4 linked regions of the Arabidopsis thaliana genome follow. The main gene of each other region encodes a partner of the protein of the gene in region 2 in a complex. Each region holds a gene or a part of one and is shown on either strand. Other genes may lie near its edges. The genes, in order: U2B'', RS2Z32, SKIP and SMU2.

Evidence for each region.
Region 1: RS2Z32 (region 2) and U2B'' share a complex: the UniProt entries of both Arabidopsis thaliana proteins name them as parts of the spliceosome.
Region 3: RS2Z32 (region 2) and SKIP share a complex: the UniProt entries of both Arabidopsis thaliana proteins name them as parts of the spliceosome.
Region 4: RS2Z32 (region 2) and SMU2 share a complex: the UniProt entries of both Arabidopsis thaliana proteins name them as parts of the spliceosome.

The regions. Positions count from the first base shown.
Region 1 is NC_003071.7:12,904,845-12,909,362, reverse strand, and holds U2B'' (U2 small nuclear ribonucleoprotein B), read left to right. Parts: upstream 1-1,697; 5' UTR 1,698-1,928; coding exon 1,929-2,001; intron 2,002-2,340; coding exon 2,341-2,513; intron 2,514-3,113; coding exon 3,114-3,207; intron 3,208-3,320; coding exon 3,321-3,409; coding exon of another isoform or gene 3,410-3,469; exon of another isoform or gene 3,470-3,536; coding exon 3,537-3,806; 3' UTR 3,807-4,018; downstream 4,019-4,518. Other genes in the region: AT2G30270 (LURP-one-like protein (DUF567)), read left to right, coding at 306-527, 718-918, 1,211-1,336; WRKY25 (WRKY DNA-binding protein 25), read left to right, coding at 4,274-4,510. UniProt on the Arabidopsis thaliana protein: Involved in nuclear pre-mRNA splicing.
Region 2 is NC_003074.8:19,833,697-19,838,672, reverse strand, and holds RS2Z32 (RNA-binding (RRM/RBD/RNP motifs) family protein with retrovirus zinc finger-like domain-containing protein), read left to right. Parts: upstream 1-1,584; 5' UTR 1,585-1,740; intron 1,741-2,158; 5' UTR 2,159-2,165; coding exon 2,166-2,272; exon of another isoform or gene 2,273-2,760; coding exon 2,761-2,800; intron 2,801-2,917; coding exon 2,918-3,013; intron 3,014-3,109; coding exon 3,110-3,303; intron 3,304-3,391; coding exon 3,392-3,493; intron 3,494-3,800; coding exon 3,801-4,116; 3' UTR 4,117-4,433; downstream 4,434-4,976. Other genes in the region: ABCG20 (ABC-2 type transporter family protein), read left to right, coding at 1-1,371; AT3G53490 (valine-tRNA ligase), read right to left, coding at 4,649-4,878. UniProt on the Arabidopsis thaliana protein: Probably involved in intron recognition and spliceosome assembly.
Region 3 is NC_003070.9:28,999,059-29,003,828, reverse strand, and holds SKIP (chromatin protein family), read left to right. Parts: upstream 1-1,693; 5' UTR 1,694-1,865; intron 1,866-1,988; exon of another isoform or gene 1,989-2,164; 5' UTR 2,165-2,196; coding exon 2,197-4,038; 3' UTR 4,039-4,252; downstream 4,253-4,770. Other genes in the region: AT1G77170 (Tetratricopeptide repeat (TPR)-like superfamily protein), read left to right, coding at 4,293-4,770. UniProt on the Arabidopsis thaliana protein: Splicing factor involved in post-transcriptional regulation of circadian clock and flowering time genes. Associates with the pre-mRNA of PRR7, PRR9, ELF3 and GI, and is necessary for the regulation of their alternative splicing and mRNA maturation.
Region 4 is NC_003071.7:11,254,385-11,260,807, reverse strand, and holds SMU2 (RED family protein), read left to right. Parts: upstream 1-1,737; 5' UTR 1,738-1,894; coding exon 1,895-1,941; intron 1,942-2,032; coding exon 2,033-2,173; intron 2,174-2,268; coding exon 2,269-2,318; intron 2,319-2,395; coding exon 2,396-2,510; intron 2,511-2,585; coding exon 2,586-2,634; intron 2,635-2,735; coding exon 2,736-2,825; intron 2,826-3,374; coding exon 3,375-3,443; intron 3,444-3,850; coding exon 3,851-3,974; intron 3,975-4,455; coding exon 4,456-4,862; intron 4,863-5,005; coding exon 5,006-5,389; intron 5,390-5,477; coding exon 5,478-5,759; 3' UTR 5,760-5,876; downstream 5,877-6,423. Other genes in the region: AT2G26470 (embryonic stem cell-specific 5-hydroxymethylcytosine-binding protein), read left to right, coding at 318-427, 508-573, 725-1,492. UniProt on the Arabidopsis thaliana protein: Auxiliary spliceosomal protein involved in splicing of specific pre-mRNAs that affect multiple aspects of development.

The sequences.
Region 1 (4,518 bases), on a different chromosome or scaffold from region 2:
TACTTTTTAGTTTTTTTTTTTGCATTTCAGTTTTGTGTGAAAAAAAAAACAAGAATTGGTATCTCAAGAACGTAAAAGAAAATTATCATTACTATTTTATTATCTTTGGCTTCTACATCCAATTATTTACTTGCTTAATTTTATTCATCTGAATTATTTTTTGGTGTAAGAAGAATGTTTCGCCGCAAAAAAAAAAATCTGATCCGACATCATTAGAACAAAAAAAAACATTGGCGTTGAATATAAGCTGCTTCTCTTGTTCTTCTTCTACCTTACGCTTCTGACTGTTATTAGAGACTATGTAAATGGCTGATTCCGAGACTCCGTATCACCCCGACCCTGAGGATCTCCGGCGTATACCAGTCGATCTCTTCGCTTCCAAAAAGCTTCCCGGACTTTCCTCCGGCGATCTCGGATTTGCCGATTCTTCCGAACATCTCGTCTTCATCCTCCGCAAATCTTCTTCCTCCTTGAAATCTCTCCTTGATTCCTCCGGAGTTCCTCTCTTCTCCATCTCTCGTCTCCACGTAAGCCTCCTTCGTCCCAAATTTCATCGATTTTGGCAATTCTCATCGCTACTTGTTTAAATCTCATTATTCATTACATAGTCCACACGATGTTTATACTTTTTGATTGTTTGGGTTTTGTTAGTTAGTCACTGGCTTGAGATATATCATAAGAACACTTACAGATCTTTGTATATGTATTGGAATGTAGAATGGAGTGTGGGAATTACATAAAGGAGATGTGGAAAAGCGTAAGGATTTGGTTCTAACGGTGAAGCGGACATCGAAAAGATTCAGTAAGACAGAGTCAGAGGTCTCTTTTGCTGGAGAATCGTCCGAAAATCTTGTTATCAAAGGTGTTCCCTTTCAGAAATCTTGTACCATTTATAGTCAAGATTCCATTGTTGCACAGGTAAAGATACTCATCTTCTCCCAATTACAGCACTATTGAACATTCTATAGCTAGACAAGAGTCAATACCGTGTTATACTGGTTTTGATTACCGGGTTCAAAACTCATCGTTTGGATCATGCTTGCTGATGGATAAACAACCAACCCTTTGTTTCGTTCATTTGAAGTCGGATTCATTAGGCTTGTAAAATTTGCTTGGATTCTAATACACTTGTTTTAAAGATTTTTGTTGTTGTTGTTGTGTTTGAACATTTGCCTCAATCTGATTTATGTTCCTTTAAATGTGGTGGCAGACGAGTTTGATGTACAAGCTGAGACAGATTTACGTAGGGAGAAGCAAGTTCCGGTTAACGATATTTCCTGGATCCATCGATCATTCACTAGTAGTCGCAATGGTTGCCATATTTCTTCAAGGATGAAAGTGAAACATCCTCGATTTATTTTCTCAGTGTAAAGAAAAATGTAACACAGAAACAAAAAGGCATTTTAGTACATTGCATTTTTAATGCCTTTTGATTCAATCGGCTCACACGTGAATTGTATTATCTATCACATGAATATTGAGATATACTAAGGTCTAAGGTTAAATCTTTTTTCAGAACAAATTTGCAAGCTCAGCTGGAAAAATACAACATCATTTACATTATTTTAAAAAGTTGTTGAACATTTGAATCAAAATGATTCACAAGACTTTTGTTGGAATTTTGCAATAAAAAAATTGATCTCGAGTCTATAAAAGTCCAATCCCGACCACTCATTCTATTTCCGGTTCAATTCTGTCTAGCCGGTCAAATTCAAATCCGGTCCATCCGGTCGGCTCATTCACGTTGGTACAAAAGTTTAGGAAATCGAACCAACAAACTAAACGGCGTCGTTAAATAGTCTGATGTTGAAACGCAGCTATTTCTTTTACTCTTCTTCGTCTCTCTCATTCCCAGTTCCCACCATTAGGGCTCTCTCTAAATTCCTCAGTCTCGAGAATCTTCATCGTCTTCACGAGCTCACTCGAAGATGTTAACGGCAGATATACCACCGAATCAATCAATCTACATCCAAAACCTCAACGAAAGGATCAAGAAAGAGGGTAAACTTCTCTTCTCGTTTAATCTAATTCGTCAAGTAAATTTCCAAATTCTTAGATGTTGAAACCTCCATGAACTTCCTGTACCAATGATTCAAGCTTCTACAGTACTGAATGTTAGGGTTTTTGCTTGTTTTTAGCTTATATAGAGTGTTCGTTTCTAAATACTAGGGTTTCAGAATCGTATTGAATCTAGTGACAAGGTTATAAGGAAGATATATATGTTGGTGTTGTCTGTTTTCGCCATTGTATGGATAATTGTTATAGACGTGTGAAGTAGTGTTGGCTCAGGGCAGTATCATCAATCTCATGCTTTATCTGACTTGGTTTTTGTTTTCTCAGAATTGAAGAGATCTCTTTACTGTTTGTTCTCTCAGTTTGGGAGGATACTTGATGTGGTTGCTTTGAAGACTCCGAAGCTCCGAGGACAAGCTTGGGTTACTTTTAGTGAAGTCACTGCTGCTGGTCATGCTGTTCGTCAGATGCAAAATTTTCCCTTCTATGATAAACCAATGGTCAGTATTTCATCACTCTTGAGTATATCAATCTCTTTATAGTTTCCATGAAAGTGATCTTCTATGTGTTGTATAGATCGATAGAAGCAAATCGTTAGTGTGTTTGTGTAATTGATTACTAACAATTTGTTTTGGAACCTTTGACCTTTTTCTATTCCCAATCCATTGGTAGTCATATATGTGTTTAGATTTTGTTGCTGTTGATGAGTAACCAATGATTAGTATCCACTACCTTTTCTGTCTTGAGTATATCAATCTCTGTATAATTTCCCTGGAAGTGATATTCTGTGTGTTGTATAGATTGATTGATGCGGTAAAAGCAGAAATCCTTAGTGTGTTTATGTGATTACCAATGATTACCTTTGACTGTGTTATTCTCAATCAACATTTAGTTATATGTGTGTTTGGATTTTGTTGCTGACCTTCTCAAATCACATTCTCTTATGATTTCTGTTGTCAAAATGTTTGTTCTGTTTGATATATACATTGTTTTTATAACTAAATCTTACCTCTTTCGATTGTTTGTAAACTATTCAACTACTTCCAATCAGGTTGAGATTTATTATTATTCATACTTTTTATGTGATCTTTTAAGTGCAGCGCTTACAATATGCAAAAGCAAAGTCAGATTGTCTAGCTAAAGCTGAGGGAACTTTCGTTCCAAAAGATAAGAAGAGGAAGCAAGAAGAAAAAGGTTTTAAACTTTATTTCTTCTTTTTGCATTTTGTCGTAGATGTTGGTTCAATGATACAACTATAAAATTTTCACTTGCATCTAAAGTTAACAAACTTCCTTTCTTACTTTCAGTTGAAAGAAAGCGTGAAGATTCCCAACGACCAAACACGGCTAATGGCCCAAGTGCTAATGGTCCAAGTGCCAATAACGGAGTCCCTGCGGTAAGTGTTCTTGTTCTCACCTTCATCTTCAGAAAAATCTTCCATTGTTGGATCATGTGAACCAAACTATTGTTATCTGGAGATGATGCTGATGTTTTGCGTTTTATCTCTGCTCTTCTTAATGCAGCCTTCGTTCCAGCCGAGCGGGCAAGAAACAATGCCACCAAACAACATACTCTTCATTCAGAATCTCCCACACGAGACAACAAGCATGATGCTACAGCTTCTCTTCGAACAGTACCCTGGATTCAAAGAGATAAGAATGATCGACGCAAAACCAGGAATCGCGTTTGTAGAGTACGAAGATGATGTTCAAGCTTCCATAGCTATGCAACCTCTTCAAGGTTTCAAAATCACTCCCCAGAATCCAATGGTCATCTCTTTCGCCAAGAAATGATAAGAGTCTTGTTTTTGTTTGTTTGTTGTCCTTTAAGACGATAGTACTGGACCAACCAAACCTGGTGTGTATAACCAACCAACGGTTCTATTGGTTAACGGATTAATCCGGTTTTGGTTTAATCATTGAAAGAGACCCTTGAAACGCGGTTTCACACTTGACGATTTATCACAAATTAGGAGACGACTCATCAAAAAAGAATATCTTACTGGTCAACCATTTTATAGAAATATTAAAATCAAAAATGATATTTAGGCCAAAGTAGAAAAAGACAAGAAGAGAGAGAAACAAAAAAAACCTTGCTCAATACGCCACCGTCGTCGTCTTTAACCCAATCTAAAAGCCTCTGTTCTTTTTTAGTTTTATCCTCTTTTTCATTTCAAGATCAATTTCATAAAAAAGTTTCCTTTTTTAGCGAATCCTCTGTTTTAGAAATCTTAAAGTTGTCTCCTTTATTAAAGACCATCATGTCTTCCACTTCTTTCACCGACCTTCTTGGTTCTTCCGGCGTTGACTGTTACGAAGATGATGAAGACTTGAGAGTTTCTGGGTCGAGTTTTGGTGGGTACTATCCAGAGAGAACCGGGTCTGGTTTACCTAAGTTCAAGACGGCTCAACCACCACCTCTTCCGATTTCACAATCTTCTCATAACTTCACTTTCTCCGATTACCTTGATTCTCCTCTGCTTCTCAGCTCCTCACACGTAATAAA
Region 2 (4,976 bases):
ACCAGTGCATACATGGTTGTCAAAGTGCTTCAGAGAATCGCACAAAGCGGCAGCATAGTTATCATGTCCATCCATCAGCCGAGTTACAGAATCTTGGGATTACTCGATAAGTTAATCTTCCTATCTAGGGGAAACACCGTTTACAGCGGCTCCCCGACACACCTCCCTCAGTTCTTCTCAGAATTCGGTCACCCAATTCCTGAAAACGAGAACAAGCCGGAGTTTGCACTCGATCTTATCCGTGAGCTGGAAGATTCGCCAGAAGGAACGAAATCCTTAGTCGAGTTCCACAAGCAATGGCGAGCAAAGCAAACCTCAAGCCAGAGCAGAAGAAACACCAATGTATCTCTCAAAGATGCAATCAGCGCAAGTATCTCGAGAGGTAAGCTTGTCTCCGGAGCAACAAACCTAAGATCATCATTTCAAACCTTTGCAAACCCATTCTGGACTGAAATGCTCGTAATTGGTAAACGATCTATACTAAACTCAAGAAGACAACCAGAGCTATTCGGAATCCGCCTAGGAGCTGTACTAGTCACCGGAATGATCCTAGCCACAATATTCTGGAAACTAGACAATTCACCAAGAGGTATACAAGAACGCTTAGGGTTCTTCGCATTCGCAATGTCCACAACATTCTACACATGTGCAGAAGCAATACCAGTCTTTCTACAGGAACGTTACATATTCATGAGAGAAACAGCTTACAACGCTTACCGGCGATCATCATACGTCCTCGCTCACACAATAATCTCCATCCCTGCTCTCATAATCTTATCCGCCGCATTCGCCGCCTCAACATTCTCGGCCGTAGGACTCGCCGGAGGCTCCGAGGGATTCCTCTTCTTCTTCTTCACAATCCTCACCGCGTTTTGGGCCGGAAGTTCCTTCGTGACGTTCTTATCCGGCGTAGTCTCACACGTGATGATCGGATTCACGGTGGTTGTAGCAATCCTCGCTTATTTCCTCCTCTTCTCCGGATTCTTCATCTCTAGAGATCGAATCCCACTCTACTGGATCTGGTTCCATTACCTCTCCCTAGTGAAATACCCTTACGAAGGTGTTCTACAGAACGAATTCGAAGATCCGACGAAATGCTTCGTCAGAGGGATCCAGATGTTCGACAATTCGCCGCTGGGACAAGTTCCAACCGCCGTGAAAATCAGCCTCCTGAAGAGCATGAGCGGCGTTTTGGGGATCAACGTGACGGCGGAGACTTGCGTAACGACGGGAATCGATATACTGAAACAGCAAGGAATCACGGAGATAAGCAAATGGAATTGCTTGTGGATCACTGTAGCTTGGGGATTCTTCTTTAGGGTTCTCTTCTACTTCACACTCTTGATCGGAAGCAAGAACAAGCGTCGCTGATTTACAAAACAGAAAATTATTAGAGTAACTTGACCAATGATTATGATGTACTTAATACTTATGATTAATACGAAATTGCATATGTTTGCTAAATCTTTAATGGGCTTTAGAGTTGATATAAGGCCCAATAAAAGTACTAAATTGGAAAGTGTGCAATTTTCTATTTTCTATATCGGTAATATCGACGTTTATCTCGCCGTGAAATCTAAACCGTTGATTGAAACAAATCGCTACCGTTGAATCTCGTCGGTTTCCAAGTTATAAGATAGGGGTTGAAGACTAATCGCAGTATCATCCGCGGTTCACTTCCTTCGTTTCGAAATTATTAGGGTTACTGCGTATTTGCACTCTCCTTCTTCGTCTCTCCAGGTACGAGGAAGAATCTTTGTAATTGGATCTGTTTAGGGTTACGATTTTATTGTTCTTCGCTCTCTAGATTAGGGATTTCAATTGGTTTCTCGTTTCCTCGCCGTAGATTTCCTTTATAGGTTTCCTTCTGTCTAATCTGATTAGAGATTTATATTCTCCCCTCACGAAATTTTCTTCTTTTCGCCTCTGAATGTGTTATTCAGTTTGGTTTCTTTGTTTTTGGATTTGTGTTCTGCTGAAAAATCATAGATATTCACATGGGTTCTATGTTTAGGTCTGAGGTAGTGTTTTAACTCTCTGGTCTTTTTCTTGTTTATATAATTTGAAGAGGATACTGTTATTCTTTTTCTTGTGATTGGCATATATATATATATATATACATATGTGCCTAATAGCTTATGTTAAAAATATTTTGCAGCTTGACAATGCCTCGCTATGATGATCGCTATGGAAACACTCGCCTCTATGTTGGTCGCTTATCATCTAGAACTCGTACCAGAGACCTTGAGCGTCTCTTTAGCAGATACGGAAGGTAAAGAGTCATATTCCTTTGTCTTGACTGACCTAATTTGACTTTTGTATTCTTGGGGAGATAAGTGTTTGGATTTTTTGTTAATTGTTCTTTGGTGTGAATCTGGAATGATTCCTCTTTGATGTTGTGCAGGGGATATATACCTAAAGTTTAACATTAGAATCAAAGAGGGTAGTTTTTACTTATAACGTTGCATTGGTACATGTGGGAAAATTGTGGAGCTAGGTTTAGTGGATTTTTTTTTCTTTAACTTGAATGATCTTGTTGAAGGTTTCTGGGGGTTTGCCTAACCTGGAGATGTTTGATGAATGGGTGGACTGTGGTGTAATTGGTGGAAATTCTCGTCTGGTGTATAGAGGGTGCATCGGCGATTTTGTTTGTTGATTTATTGCATGTTTTTATTGGAAATGGCCTCAAATCTCAAAAACTGGTGTTTGGAAGTTCCTTAAGTAATGATGGCCTTGATTTTCTGGCAACAATTTACGCAGAGTACGAGATGTGGATATGAAGCGTGATTATGCCTTTGTTGTAAGTCTTATATTACCCTTTTCCTTTATTCAAGCGTTTGATTCTCAAGTTTGTCATGCGCACAAACTTTATATATATGTTATGCATCTATCATTGTCCCTCACATTTTGAGAACAGGAATTTAGTGATCCTCGTGATGCTGATGACGCAAGATATTACTTGGATGGACGGGATTTCGATGGAAGTCGCATCACTGTGGAGGCATCAAGAGGGGTTAGTTATTTGTGTCTGTATTACCGATTCTCCATTGGCTTGATAATTTGGATGAAAAATTACTGATATCTTGCCAAACTTTTGAATTTATGATAGGCTCCTCGTGGTTCGCGGGACAATGGTAGCAGAGGCCCACCTCCTGGTTCTGGTCGCTGTTTTAATTGTGGTGTCGATGGCCACTGGGCCCGAGACTGCACAGCAGGAGACTGGAAGAATAAATGTTACCGCTGTGGTGAAAGAGGACACATTGAGAGAAACTGCAAAAACAGTCCTAGTCCAAAGAAGGCCAGGTACTAAATCTTTGAATCTTTGTTTTTCCACAGTTTGTTCTATTCTTTAAGCTTCTTCTCATATCTCTTTTGGATTATAATTCTCCAGGCAGGGTGGAAGCTATTCCAGGTCACCAGTCAAATCCCGCTCCCCTCGTCGCCGAAGGAGCCCAAGCCGTAGCCGTAGTTACAGTCGAGGTCGCAGCTACAGGTCAGTTGTGAATTTGGACTTCTCGAAAATTGTCTTATAAATGCAAATACGGAATACAATAGGAGAGCCACCAAAAAACTTACCTAGAAATTCATATTTTGAGCTTCATATGTGGGGTAAAAAGCTTAGAGCAATTCTGAGCTTTTTCTGGAACTATATTAGTTTGATCTTTAAGCATGTCCCGTAGACAACTATTTTCCCTTAATATTGTAGAAATGATTCGTACTTTGTAGCTATTAAGTATGTTGACAACGCTAATTCCATGGCTTATGCCCTTTGGTTGACTCTTTATTTCTCTGTTCATCAGTCGATCGCGATCCCCAGTGAGAAGAGAGAAAAGCGTGGAGGACAGATCACGCAGTCCTAAGGCAATGGAGCGATCTGTATCTCCCAAAGGTAGGGACCAAAGCCTGAGTCCAGACCGAAAAGTGATAGATGCAAGCCCAAAGCGTGGATCAGACTATGATGGTAGCCCAAAAGAGAATGGTAATGGCAGGAACTCTGCGAGTCCCATTGTTGGAGGTGGTGAAAGTCCTGTTGGACTTAATGGTCAAGACAGGAGCCCGATTGATGATGAGGCTGAGCTTAGCCGTCCTTCCCCTAAAGGCAGTGAGTCACCTTGATGGTTCACAGGTTAAAAGCTCTATGTAGCATTCTGTACTGAAGGATGTTGTTTCCTTTCCCTTTCTTTCTGCGTGATACTTTTCTTTTCGTTGCGTGACAATCCTGGATGTTACTTTGCCTTCTCTCTTGATGACTCTTGGTTTGTTTTCCGACAACTTTCAAACTCTGCGATGTTACTTTTCATTGTTTAGTAAGAATCATGCATTTATGAAATTCTCGCTTGTGGATCGTTTAGTAAAGAATAAAGCACCTCGTAATGTCTTTTTTGGCAAAAAAAAAATTTGGTAAGTAAAGGAAAAAGGATTTAACTATCGCAGTCTGGGTTTCTTTTAGCCTCTTTAATTGTTAAACAGTTATGACAAAAGAAATAACAACATTGACTTTTCTTTGGATGAAGCAACTGCTTGTATGTATCATTGTACCCCTTTCCTCTCTATGTCCGACAAAAACAAAAATGCTTGTGAGGAGGATCAAGACGTTTTGTATGTATGTACATAAACTTTGAATTACTGTGGCACATTAAACTTGGCTTCATAGGGTATTTTCAAGGCCAAGTTCGTCCTCAATATCGTCACCATCTTCGAACAGCTTGAGAAACCGGGCCTGCTCTTGTTGCCGTTTCTTCTTTCTCCAATACTTGTAACCTACCAAGAGTCCCACCGCAACTACACCTAACAAGAGTACTACAATCAGTACCACAATTCCAGGATGCATTCCGCCCTTTTGTTCTTCCTTCTCGGTGCCTGATTCTTTATTCGAACCTGCCAAAAGAAAAAGAATGCATATGAATATGATAGTCCTAATCACAGAGAACAGATTCAAACTGAAGCTACAGCCAACAGAGATACATGTGAAAGAG
Region 3 (4,770 bases), on a different chromosome or scaffold from region 2:
TCTTTCCCTAATTAAAAACAATTTGTACCAGAGAAGTAAAAGATTATCGTTCTACCAAAACGAATTTGCAGGTTAAGGATTATTTATCATTTCCTCTTGTTTGACTTTGTTTGCATTAGTCAGACATAATTAATGGCTTGACCCTTAATTTAACATGTCCATGCACTAACTCATATGCAAATCCAACGATGTGAAATTTAAAACCTTTTTTTTATTCATTTTTAATCTTTGTAAAACGAACTTATATTATGTTTGAACAAATATTTTTTCATACGCAATCCTTAGATGGGGAAATTAATACCTTTGTAACAAAAAAAAAAAAAAAATGTTAAATCAACTAAGTATTGGGTGAGTCTTCTCAACGAAAACATCAATCAACACCGGCCTCATAAGTTGATTAAATTAACACATTTATTATAATCATCGTACATTGATTTGAATCAAAATTAATTGTTACGTTAATTAGTAATGCATCTAACTATCCCGTAGGAAAAGGCCATTATATTGGGATCCGCGGTCAACGGAGGTTCCACCCACGAGCACGGTCTTTATTTGTTTTTTCCTTTCTCAAATATATATACGGATGTATGATTTTTTGCTTTTGGGGTTAAACAAATATGAATTACTGTGCTTAGATCAGAAATAGACACTTTTATACAAATGATTATATGATTACTGTTCATAGCATAAGCTCCTATGAAAACAAATAATAATCGCAACAGCCGTTTAACCTAATCGAATGCTGAAAAGCCCTCAAAATAGTTCATCTAATCCATGAATCGATTTAACAGAAAAAGTTGAAAATTGTATGCATATGATATACTCAAGTATATTCCGAGTTTTGAGTTGTGTAATGCAAGGAGTCAAGGACCATAGTTTGTCGTTGAACACAACCACGCCAAGTTGTCCACCAAAACTGGAAACTAACTACCATGCCGTTGTTTCCATAGAAGCAAAACCATTAACCTTCCCATTATCCCGCATGGCCACATATATGTTTAATAATATTTCTCACCATACATTTAAGTCTCTCTCGTAGTCGTTATTTACATAGCCTACGTAGTTCATTCATATCATTTTTGTTTCTTTACCTTATATCAAACAAATTGGTTGTTGATTAGAAAAACATAAATTGGTTCATTAAATATCAAACTAACGCCATCAATCTATTGTTTTTTTATAAAAAAATGAAAGAGAAGAAAGTTTGTTGATATGAAACTTACACTTGCTTTGAGTTTTGATAGACAAACCAAAGCCTAACTAGTATTTCCTCTATTGGTACTTGAATTCTGAACTTTTTCACCTTCCCTTTCGAGGTGGTTTAACAGTATACCAGTTGAGATGTACCAACACCAAATTCTTATACTTTTTTTTCTTTTAACCTTGAATTCAGTATTTTAAACGAAACTATGGGAATGTGTTTGAGACGGATTTTCATTAAGGACAATGCAAATAATTATGAGATGCTCAGAATTGTTGTATATATCAAAAAGCCAACACCTATAGTTATATATATAACTTTCTTCGATTTAAAAACAATAAGTCGCTTTGGCCGAGTGGTTAAGGCGTGTGCCTGCTAAGTACATGGGCTCTGCCCGCGAGAGTTCGAATCTCTCAGGCGACGTTATCCTTTTCGTTTTTTCGTCTATTTTTAAACCGACTTACATAGACACTGCGTATAAGACAATTGATTCCTTTTTTTTGTTGTTAATCCTATCAACCCTAGAAAAGGCTTCACGCCCGATTTCTTTTTTCCCCAGAAAAAGGCTTCACTTCCGTTCGTTGTTCTTCATCGGTCTGCGCCGCCTCGCACATCGTTTCACCTTTCTCAGAATCTCTCTTCCCGTCGATTAGTTTCCTCAGAGGTTAGCTTCTTCGATTTCTCAGATTCAATTCTGCTTTTTGCTTTCCTCCTGTTGTTTTTAGGTTTTTGTCGATCTCTATGTTCAGCGATTCCTAAACCCTACTTGTTTTCCGCTCTATTGTAGTGAATCCAACCCAGATTTTTCAGATTTTAATCGGAATTATTCGGGATCTAATGCTCGCGTCGAGTTTATCGCTAGAAAACCCTAATTTCGGAGGATCTGTCACTTTTATTATCAGAAGCTTGTTGTTGTAATTACGGATTAGGTATGTCCTGATCGTTATTGTTCTTTGTTTGCAGGTTGCGATTTGTTGAAAACCTTGATTTAGACTATGAAGTCTCTTAATGATCTTCCTGCGCCCAAATCAACCACTACCACGTATTATGATCATTCTAATGATGCTTGGTTCAAAAACCGAGTCACTGAATCCGAGACGGTGAAATCCTCCAGTATCAAATTTAAAGTGGTGCCTGCTTACCTGAATCGTCAAGGTTTACGTCCGAAGAATCCAGAGGATTTTGGCGATGGTGGTGCTTTCCCGGAGATTCATCTTCCTCAGTATCCTCTTCTTATGGGTAAGAATAAATCCAATAAGCCTGGAGCTAAGACTCTCCCTGTTACTGTCGATGCTCAGGGAAACGTGGTCTTTGACGCTATAGTGAGGCAGAATGAGAACTCGAGGAAGATTGTTTATTCTCAGCATAAGGATATTATTCCAAAGTTTCTGAAAAACGAGGGAGACTTGGGTACTGTTGTTGATGAAGAGGAGGAATTGCAGAAGGAGATTCAGGAGACTGCTGAAGAAACGAAAGCTGCCATTGAGAAGATTGTGAATGTGAGACTGAGTGCAGCGCAGCCTAGTAATATAGCAAGGCAATCGGGAGATTCACAGTACATTAAATATAAGCCATCCCAGCAATCTTCTGCCTTCAATTCTGGTGCTAAAGAGAGGATCATTAGGATGGTGGAGATGCCTGTAGATCCACTTGATCCACCAAAGTTCAAGCACAAGAGAGTCCCAAGGGCTTCTGGTTCTCCGCCTGTTCCGGTCATGCATTCACCGCCCAGGCCTGTTACCGTCAAGGACCAGCAAGACTGGAAAATCCCTCCTTGTATCTCCAATTGGAAGAATCCGAAAGGTTACACAATCCCTCTTGACAAACGTCTAGCTGCTGATGGAAGGGGCCTACAAGACGTTCAGATCAATGATAACTTTGCCAAGTTATCAGAGGCCCTCTATGTAGCTGAGCAGAAAGCTAGAGAGGCTGTTTCAATGCGTTCCAAGGTGCAAAAAGAGATGGTGATGAAGGACAAGGAAAGGAAAGAGCAGGAATTGAGGGCTCTTGCCCAAAAAGCTCGCTCCGAAAGAACCGGTGCTGCTATGAGTATGCCTGTCTCATCTGACAGGGGTAGGAGTGAAAGTGTTGACCCAAGAGGTGATTATGACAACTATGACCAGGATAGAGGAAGGGAAAGAGAAAGGGAAGAGCCTCAAGAGACGAGGGAGGAGAGGGAAAAAAGGATTCAGAGAGAAAAGATACGAGAAGAGCGTCGCAGGGAAAGAGAGAGGGAGAGAAGGTTGGATGCCAAAGATGCTGCCATGGGGAAGAAGAGCAAGATCACCAGAGACAGAGACCGTGACATCAGTGAGAAAGTTGCTCTTGGAATGGCATCTACTGGAGGAAAAGGTGGTGGTGAAGTTATGTATGATCAACGTCTGTTTAACCAAGACAAAGGAATGGACTCTGGTTTCGCTGCTGATGACCAATACAACTTATACGACAAAGGCTTGTTCACTGCACAACCAACTCTTTCGACTTTGTACAAGCCAAAGAAGGATAACGATGAAGAAATGTATGGAAACGCTGATGAGCAGCTCGATAAGATCAAGAATACTGAGAGGTTTAAGCCTGACAAAGCTTTCACAGGGGCTTCAGAGAGGGTGGGTAGTAAGAGAGACCGACCTGTTGAGTTTGAGAAGGAAGAGGAACAAGATCCTTTCGGTCTTGAGAAGTGGGTTTCTGATTTAAAGAAGGGTAAGAAACCTTTGGACAAGATCGGGTCTGGTGGAACTATGAGAGCAAGTGGCGGTGGTGGTAGCTCTTCAAGGGACGATGACCACGGCGGTTCTGGTCGAACCAAGATCAATTTCGAACGCAGTGACCGGCGTTAAAAGTCAAGACAAAGAAAAAGCTCAGTAACTGATCTTTGATTTCAATATATAACTTGTTATTTTGGATCTGTTAAAACAGTTTGCTTTGGATTATCAGTATTTATGTTGTTGTGAGTCTCTTAAACTACTCGAATACAATCTTTCAGCTTCATAATATCAGATCTTTTGAGCTTATTTTAGTTTCTTTTTCACTGTTACAACTTTGTGTACTTAAGAATCTTAGTTTTGAATCAGGACAACAACAAAAAAGACACATGTTCTTCTCTGGTCTTATCTCCAAGCTTCATGTTCATGGTACTAAGAGAACAAATCACTTCACGATCTTTCACCGTTTGAATCATTTCGTCACTACATCATCTTCCTCGGTTACGCCTCTTTCGCCTCAAGATCGAAACAAACTCTTAGCTACTCTGTTATCAAACTGCACTAGCCTAGCTCGTGTTCGTCGGATCCATGGTGACATCTTCCGTTCACGAATCCTCGATCAATATCCGATCGCTTTCTTATGGAACAACATCATGCGATCTTACATTCGCCATGAGTCTCCTCTCGATGCAATTCAAGTATATCTCGGTATGGTGAGATCGACTGTTTTACCCGATCGATATTCTCTTCCGATTGTAATCAAAGCAGCCGTTCAAATTCATGATTTTACGTTGGGAAAGGAGCTTCATTCCGTCGCCGTTAGGTTAGGGTTCGTCGGAGATGAGTTCTGCGAGAGTGGGTTCATTA
Region 4 (6,423 bases), on a different chromosome or scaffold from region 2:
AAAATGAGGTTTAATCAAACCCGCACATTAATAAAGATACAAACTTATCATAGTAGTATGAGTTGTTTCTGTTTTCGTATTACATCTGATTTGATAAGCTCTTTTAGAAAAGATACATATGTAATTGCATGAGAATCTTTAACTTCTTTAAGTACTGGAATAGAACAAGCAGTGGCTGTTTAAGGTAGTTTAATATTGAGAGTAGCGTTTCTTATACAATGCTTACATTATTAGCGGCTGTTGATGATTGTTTTGTTGATTTGCAGCAGCCCTGAATTTTTGTGTTAACACGTGAGTTTGTTTATTTTTCATGTAAGACAGAATGCCTGTAATTCTTGGTGATAAGGATTCAATCGACACATGGTTAGATGATCCCTCGACAACGAAACTGCAGCCATTACTTTCACCATATGAAAAATCGGATTTGGTATGCAATTGCTTACTTCCTCGCATATAAGAGTGGTCTTTCCTTTTTCATTTACTTGAGATTGAAGTTTGAACTTTCAGGTATGGTATCCAGTAACCTCTGCAATTGGTAAACCAACGTTTGATGGACCAGAGTGTATTCAACAGGTACGGTTAACATCTTTCCCTTTCTTAGTAGTGTACAACTCAAATCTCAAGTTTGATCTCAAGTCGCATTAAACATATTGTCAGGATCACTATGTATTTGTACAGTCTGTATGCTTATTGTCATTTCAAATAAGGATTATGCCACCTGCAGATACCGCTAAAGACTTCACAAAATAGCTTGATCTCGAAGTTTTTCTCAACAAAGCAGCCCAAAACAGATGAAGGAGACAAAGAAACCAAATCAACAGATGCAAATATCATAGTTGATTTGAAAAAGGAACCTACGGCTGAAAAGGACACGTTTTCTGACAGCATTAAGAAAATTGAAGAACTAGACGGGGAGAAAGATATGTCGAATGTAGCCAAAAATCTGGAGTTTCAAGAGATTGTGAAAGCAGAACCATTTGTTGAAGATAACTCAGCAGTTGCGTCACTTCCTGAACCTGTAAAGAATGATGTTCAGGAGGGTACAAAGGAAGAAGGCAAATCCCTAAAGACTGGTCTTACTAAAGAAACAGGTGAGAGCAGTGCCAGTATACCGGCTGAGTCCTACATCCTTGATCTCCAAAGAATCTCAAAAGAAGAACCCGAGACTCAAAGCCATCATTTCTTTACTGCAGATGAGAGATTGAATCAGCTGCATGAGGCTGTCGAAGATATTCCAGGAAATGAAAACCAGAAGACAGTTTTAACTAGCCCGACGACGAAGGAAGGTGGCTTAGTGTTTAGCGAAAAGAGTGGGACAAAGCGAGACTATGAGGTATTCTCAGCTCAAGAAAAGCCACAGAAACACTATGAGAGGTTGCAAAATGTTAAAAGCAGTGGGAAACAAGGAAAGATGCATGGAATGGGGAAATCTAACATCAAGAAATCTAAGGAGACGCAGTCTACATTACATTTCTTTTTCGATGAGAAATAGTTTTGAGTCTACATAACATCTATGAGGACCATGTTGGCCTACTTTTGTTGTAGATAATGTTAGATAAGACCATCGTTTTGGGAATGTTGCTTGTATTGTATGTGTAGTGTTTGATCTTTGATCTAAGGTAATATTATTATGAATGAATTGGGTTTTTAATGTCCTTGGTGGATGGTAAAAATTTGTGAACCAGGTTTCGATAATCAAACCCGGTCGCTAAACGATTTTATCGGTTTAAATTAGATCCGGTTTCTAAATTAAACATCGAATTCTAATTTCCCCTGACCAGAACCACCAACGCTTTGAAATCGAAACAGACACAGATATCATCAGAACGAAGAACTTCAGCCAAAATCTGATTTTTCTCTGTTTCACGACAAGAAATCGAATTAACGAAATCTAATGAAACCTTCAAAATCGCATCACAAGGAGAAAACCGCTCGTCGGAGGTCAGAAATCTTCATTTTCCTCTCTCCCCTTTTCTTCAAAAGCTAGGGTTTTTACACAAAAACATCAAAACTCGTCACTTTTCCTTCACAGAGAGGAGAAACTAGAGGAATCCGATAATCCAAAATACAGAGATCGTGCTAAAGAAAGAAGAGAGAATCAAAATCCTGATTATGATCCATCAGAGCTTAGTTCTTTCCATGCCGTTGCTCCTCCCGGAGCTGTCGATATCCGGTAGCACTTGTCTTTCCTCGATTACTTCATTATCTTTCTAAATTCTAATTGGGTTTCTCTAAATTTCTGTTGCTGTGTACTTTTTTTTGTTGTAGTGCTGCTGATGCACTTAAGATATCTATTGAGAACAGCAAATATCTTGGAGGTTTGTGTTAGGTTTACAAATTTATTCAAAATGTTTTTTTTTTGAGGTGCTTATGTTGTTTTTATGATATGGTTTAGGTGATGTTGAACATACCCATTTAGTTAAGGGTTTGGATTATGCTTTGTTGAATAAAGTACGAAGCGAAATCGTTAAGAAACCTGATGGTGAAGATGGTGATGGTGGGAAGACTAGGTAGATTTGGTTATACTTGGTTTATTGACTCATTTGGCTTCTTTGATTCAAGTGCTAATTTTACTATATTAACAGTGCGCCTAAGGAAGATCAGCGAGTTACTTTCCGTACCATAGCTGCAAAGGTATGCAATTTTGTTCTGAACTTTGCAGATGAGGAGCAAGTTTTGGGATGTAGTTAACGCGCTTGATGTTTTTTGTTTCTCTTGTCTTTGATCTGTTTCAGTCAGTTTACCAGTGGATTGTTAAGCCTCAGACTATCATCAAGTCTAATGAGATGTTTCTTCCCGGTAGAATGACATTTGTCTATGATATGGTATTGCTTGTTAACTCTTTTTCAGGAAGATTCAATCTTATTACATGTTCTTATGTCGTTGTTTGTCTTAGGAAGTAGTCATACATGTGTATTCTGCTTCAACGATTCTTCTTCGAGTATTAGTTAATATTTAGTTAAATCTTCGCTTCTAGTTTAAATACATGTCTCAGGAAAATTTTAAGAAGGTAGCTTAAGCTGTTTTGCATTACCTTGTTAGCGATTTATTCACGATTTAATCTATTTGTTAGAAACCTTATACGCAGAATTGGTTGTAAAGGTTTTTTAGTTCGATTAACGTGTCTGCTCTTCTTGAAGAAGCATATTCTTTTTCTCTTGCAGATAGAGACACCATACGACAAGAAAAGTCAGTTGAATATACTATTGATATTTGGTAGTGTTACGTATGAAGTTTCCTTTGAGATACTTAGTCTCAGCTAAGCTGCTAGGCTAAGCTTATAGTATGGGTTTAGTCTGCCCTTTGAAAGCCTCCCTGTTGATGTATATTAATTTTATTCCCTTTTGTTTTTAATTCTATTTGTTGCTTTTCAGGAAGGTGGCTATACCCATGACATACCGACCACGTTATATAGGAGTAAAGCTGACTGCCCGGTGCCCGAGGTATGTATACTTAGAGTCCTTGTTGTAATAGTCTTCTTGATCCTGGAAAAATCTTTAGACTGTAAGCAGTGATGTGACATGATCGTTTTGATTCTAATGAAAATAAGCCCACTCTGCCTGTCTCTGCAACCTATTTTCTTTTACAGTGTTGATGTATTCAATACAGCTAATATCGATTATATAAGTCATTAGTTTTGGTAGAAGCATAGATTTTCTTTAAGTAATTATAAAAATCTTTTTAAACTAAATTCAACTTTCTTTCTACTAATCTGGAACCAAAATTAACGTTGCTTAATATGTTTGTTTACTGAACATAATAAAAATTTATAATTGAAATCACTGCTGCAATTTTTGCGAGAATTGTTTCATTTAACAGGCACTGTTTCTCTGTCCTATCTCCCCAACAGGAATTTGTCACAGTCAATGTTGATGGTTCTGTGCTAGATCGAATTGCTAAAATCATGTCATATCTTCGCCTTGGGTCGTCGGGGAAAGTTCTCAAGAAGAAAAAGAAAGAAAAAGATGGGAAAGGTATTTTGCATCTACTGGTGCATTTTTTTGTAAAGTTTAAGTATTAGCAGACCTGATTCACTTACACTGGTTAAATAAGTTCTCTGCTTTTCCCGAAATTTGTTAATTATCTGGTCTTACAGTTTGGAGCCAAGAATGTAAAGAGTGTACCTAGTCTTTGACCACAGTACTAGTAGTATCTACTGATGTCTGGTTGTGTTCTCGCTTATCAATTGTGAAGAAATTTAGTTGTATCATAAATATGTTGCTGCCGTCCCTTGATGGTTCTGTAAACTCTGTTGTTAGTAATTTTTATTATGCTAATGTGGTGCCAGTACATGTTGTAGTTCTTGTTTCACATCAGCATACAATTGGATACAAGTTGGCTGGTTTCTGATTCTTTAGCAAGATAATTTGCTAATTTCTATTCTATCATACGTTCATGCATTTTTTATATTATTTTGCCTTATTAATCACATCCACTGCAACTTTTCAAATGCAGGAAAGATGTCAACTATTGCTAATGATTATGATGAAGACGACAATAAATCTAAGATTGAGAATGGATCTTCTGTGAACATAAGTGACAGGGAAGTTTTACCTCCTCCTCCGCCATTACCACCTGGGATAAACCATCTGGATTTGAGTACGAAACAAGAAGAACCCCCTGTTGCCAGGACAGACGATGATGACATATTTGTTGGTGAAGGCGTCGATTACACGGTTCCTGGTAAAGATGTGACACAGAGTCCTATTTCTGAGGACATGGAAGAATCTCCCAGGGATAAGGAGAAAGTATCTTATTTCGATGAGCCTGCTTATGGTCCAGTGCAGGAGAAGGTACCTTATTTCGCTGAGCCTGCTTATGGTCCAGTGCAGCCATCTGCTGGTCAGGAATGGCAAGATATGGTCAGTTCACCCTAGCTAATCCTTGGTTGTATTTATTCTCAAATCTTGATCCTCGTCTGCAAATTTTGCGTCTTGGTATGTAGTTATTAGATGTCATTTATTCCCATATTTAGGTTTTTTCTGGTGGTTGTGTGTTTTTCCAGAGTGCATATGGTGCAATGCAAACTCAAGGACTGGCTCCTGGGTACCCCGGAGAGTGGCAGGAATACCAATATGCAGAGCAAACTGGGTATCAGGAGCAGTACCTTCAACCTGGAATGGAGGGTTACGAGGTCCAACCAGAAACCGATGTTTTACTAGATCCTCAACTCATGTCGCAGGAAGAGAAAGATAGGGGTTTGGGATCGGTTTTCAAGCGTGATGACCAAAGGCTTCAACAGTTGAGGGAGAGTGACGCAAGGGAGAAAGATCCAACTTTTGTATCCGAGAGTTATTCAGAGTGTTATCCAGGTTACCAAGAGTACAACCATGAGATTGTCGGTAGTGATGAAGAACCTGATTTGTCTAAAATGGACATGGGTGGAAAGGTATGCCCTGACTTAATTACATGTTCCTTGTTATTTATTGTGGAAGAGCAAAATTACAGTATCTGGTTGTTGAATGTACATGGAACAGGCAAAGGGTGGTTTACATCGATGGGACTTTGAGACAGAAGAGGAATGGGAAAAATATAATGAGCAGAAGGAAGCGATGCCAAAAGCGGCGTTCCAATTCGGGGTAAAGATGCAAGATGGTCGAAAGACAAGGAAGCAGAACCGTGACCGTGACCAGAAGCTCAATAATGAACTTCACCAGATCAATAAGATACTTACGAGAAAGAAGATGGAGAAGGAGGGTGGGGATGTTGCTTCTTTGGATGCCGCCGAGGCACAAACTCCTAAGAGATCCAAGCATTGATTTGTCTCTTGTCTACTCCAGTCATTCTCTCGTAATCTATTTTGTATCTTCAAGTCTGTTTAGGTTTTTGGTACCTTGAGTTCAAATTCTTAATTTAGAAAAGATTTTACGTCCAAATTTTGAAATGATAGCATTCTTATTTCCTAATTACCCATTAAACACGAAGCAGTTTTGGGAGTTGGGACAGCCTTAGGTTTTAGGTTTAGCATCACCAAAAATGAGACGCTTCAGTAACCAACCCAACAAGACAAGCAAAAAACTAGAAAAATCATAAAACCCTAATCAGAAAAATGGCCACAGATTCCATGAATGCAGCCACCGTCAATGACTCCGACCGTTTCATCTTCTCCACACCTCTCTCCGCTCGTGGTTCAACCAAACGTGACGCCATCTCCGTCGAGGATCTTGGCCAATACACTCTTCTCAAACTCCATTCAAATCCGGTTTCACAAACTACATAGATCTTGGCCAATACAACGACGAAGATGACGATGTAAGAATCCTCTGTTTCACACCAATCTCCATAGAAAAGGGACAGTCCTCTGTTTGACCAATACAACGACGAAGACGCTCTTTCGACTGCGAGATATGTGTTGAACGAAAACCAAGGATTGAATCTTTTCGAATCAATGGCTGTTCTCACACTTATTGCAACGATTGTGTC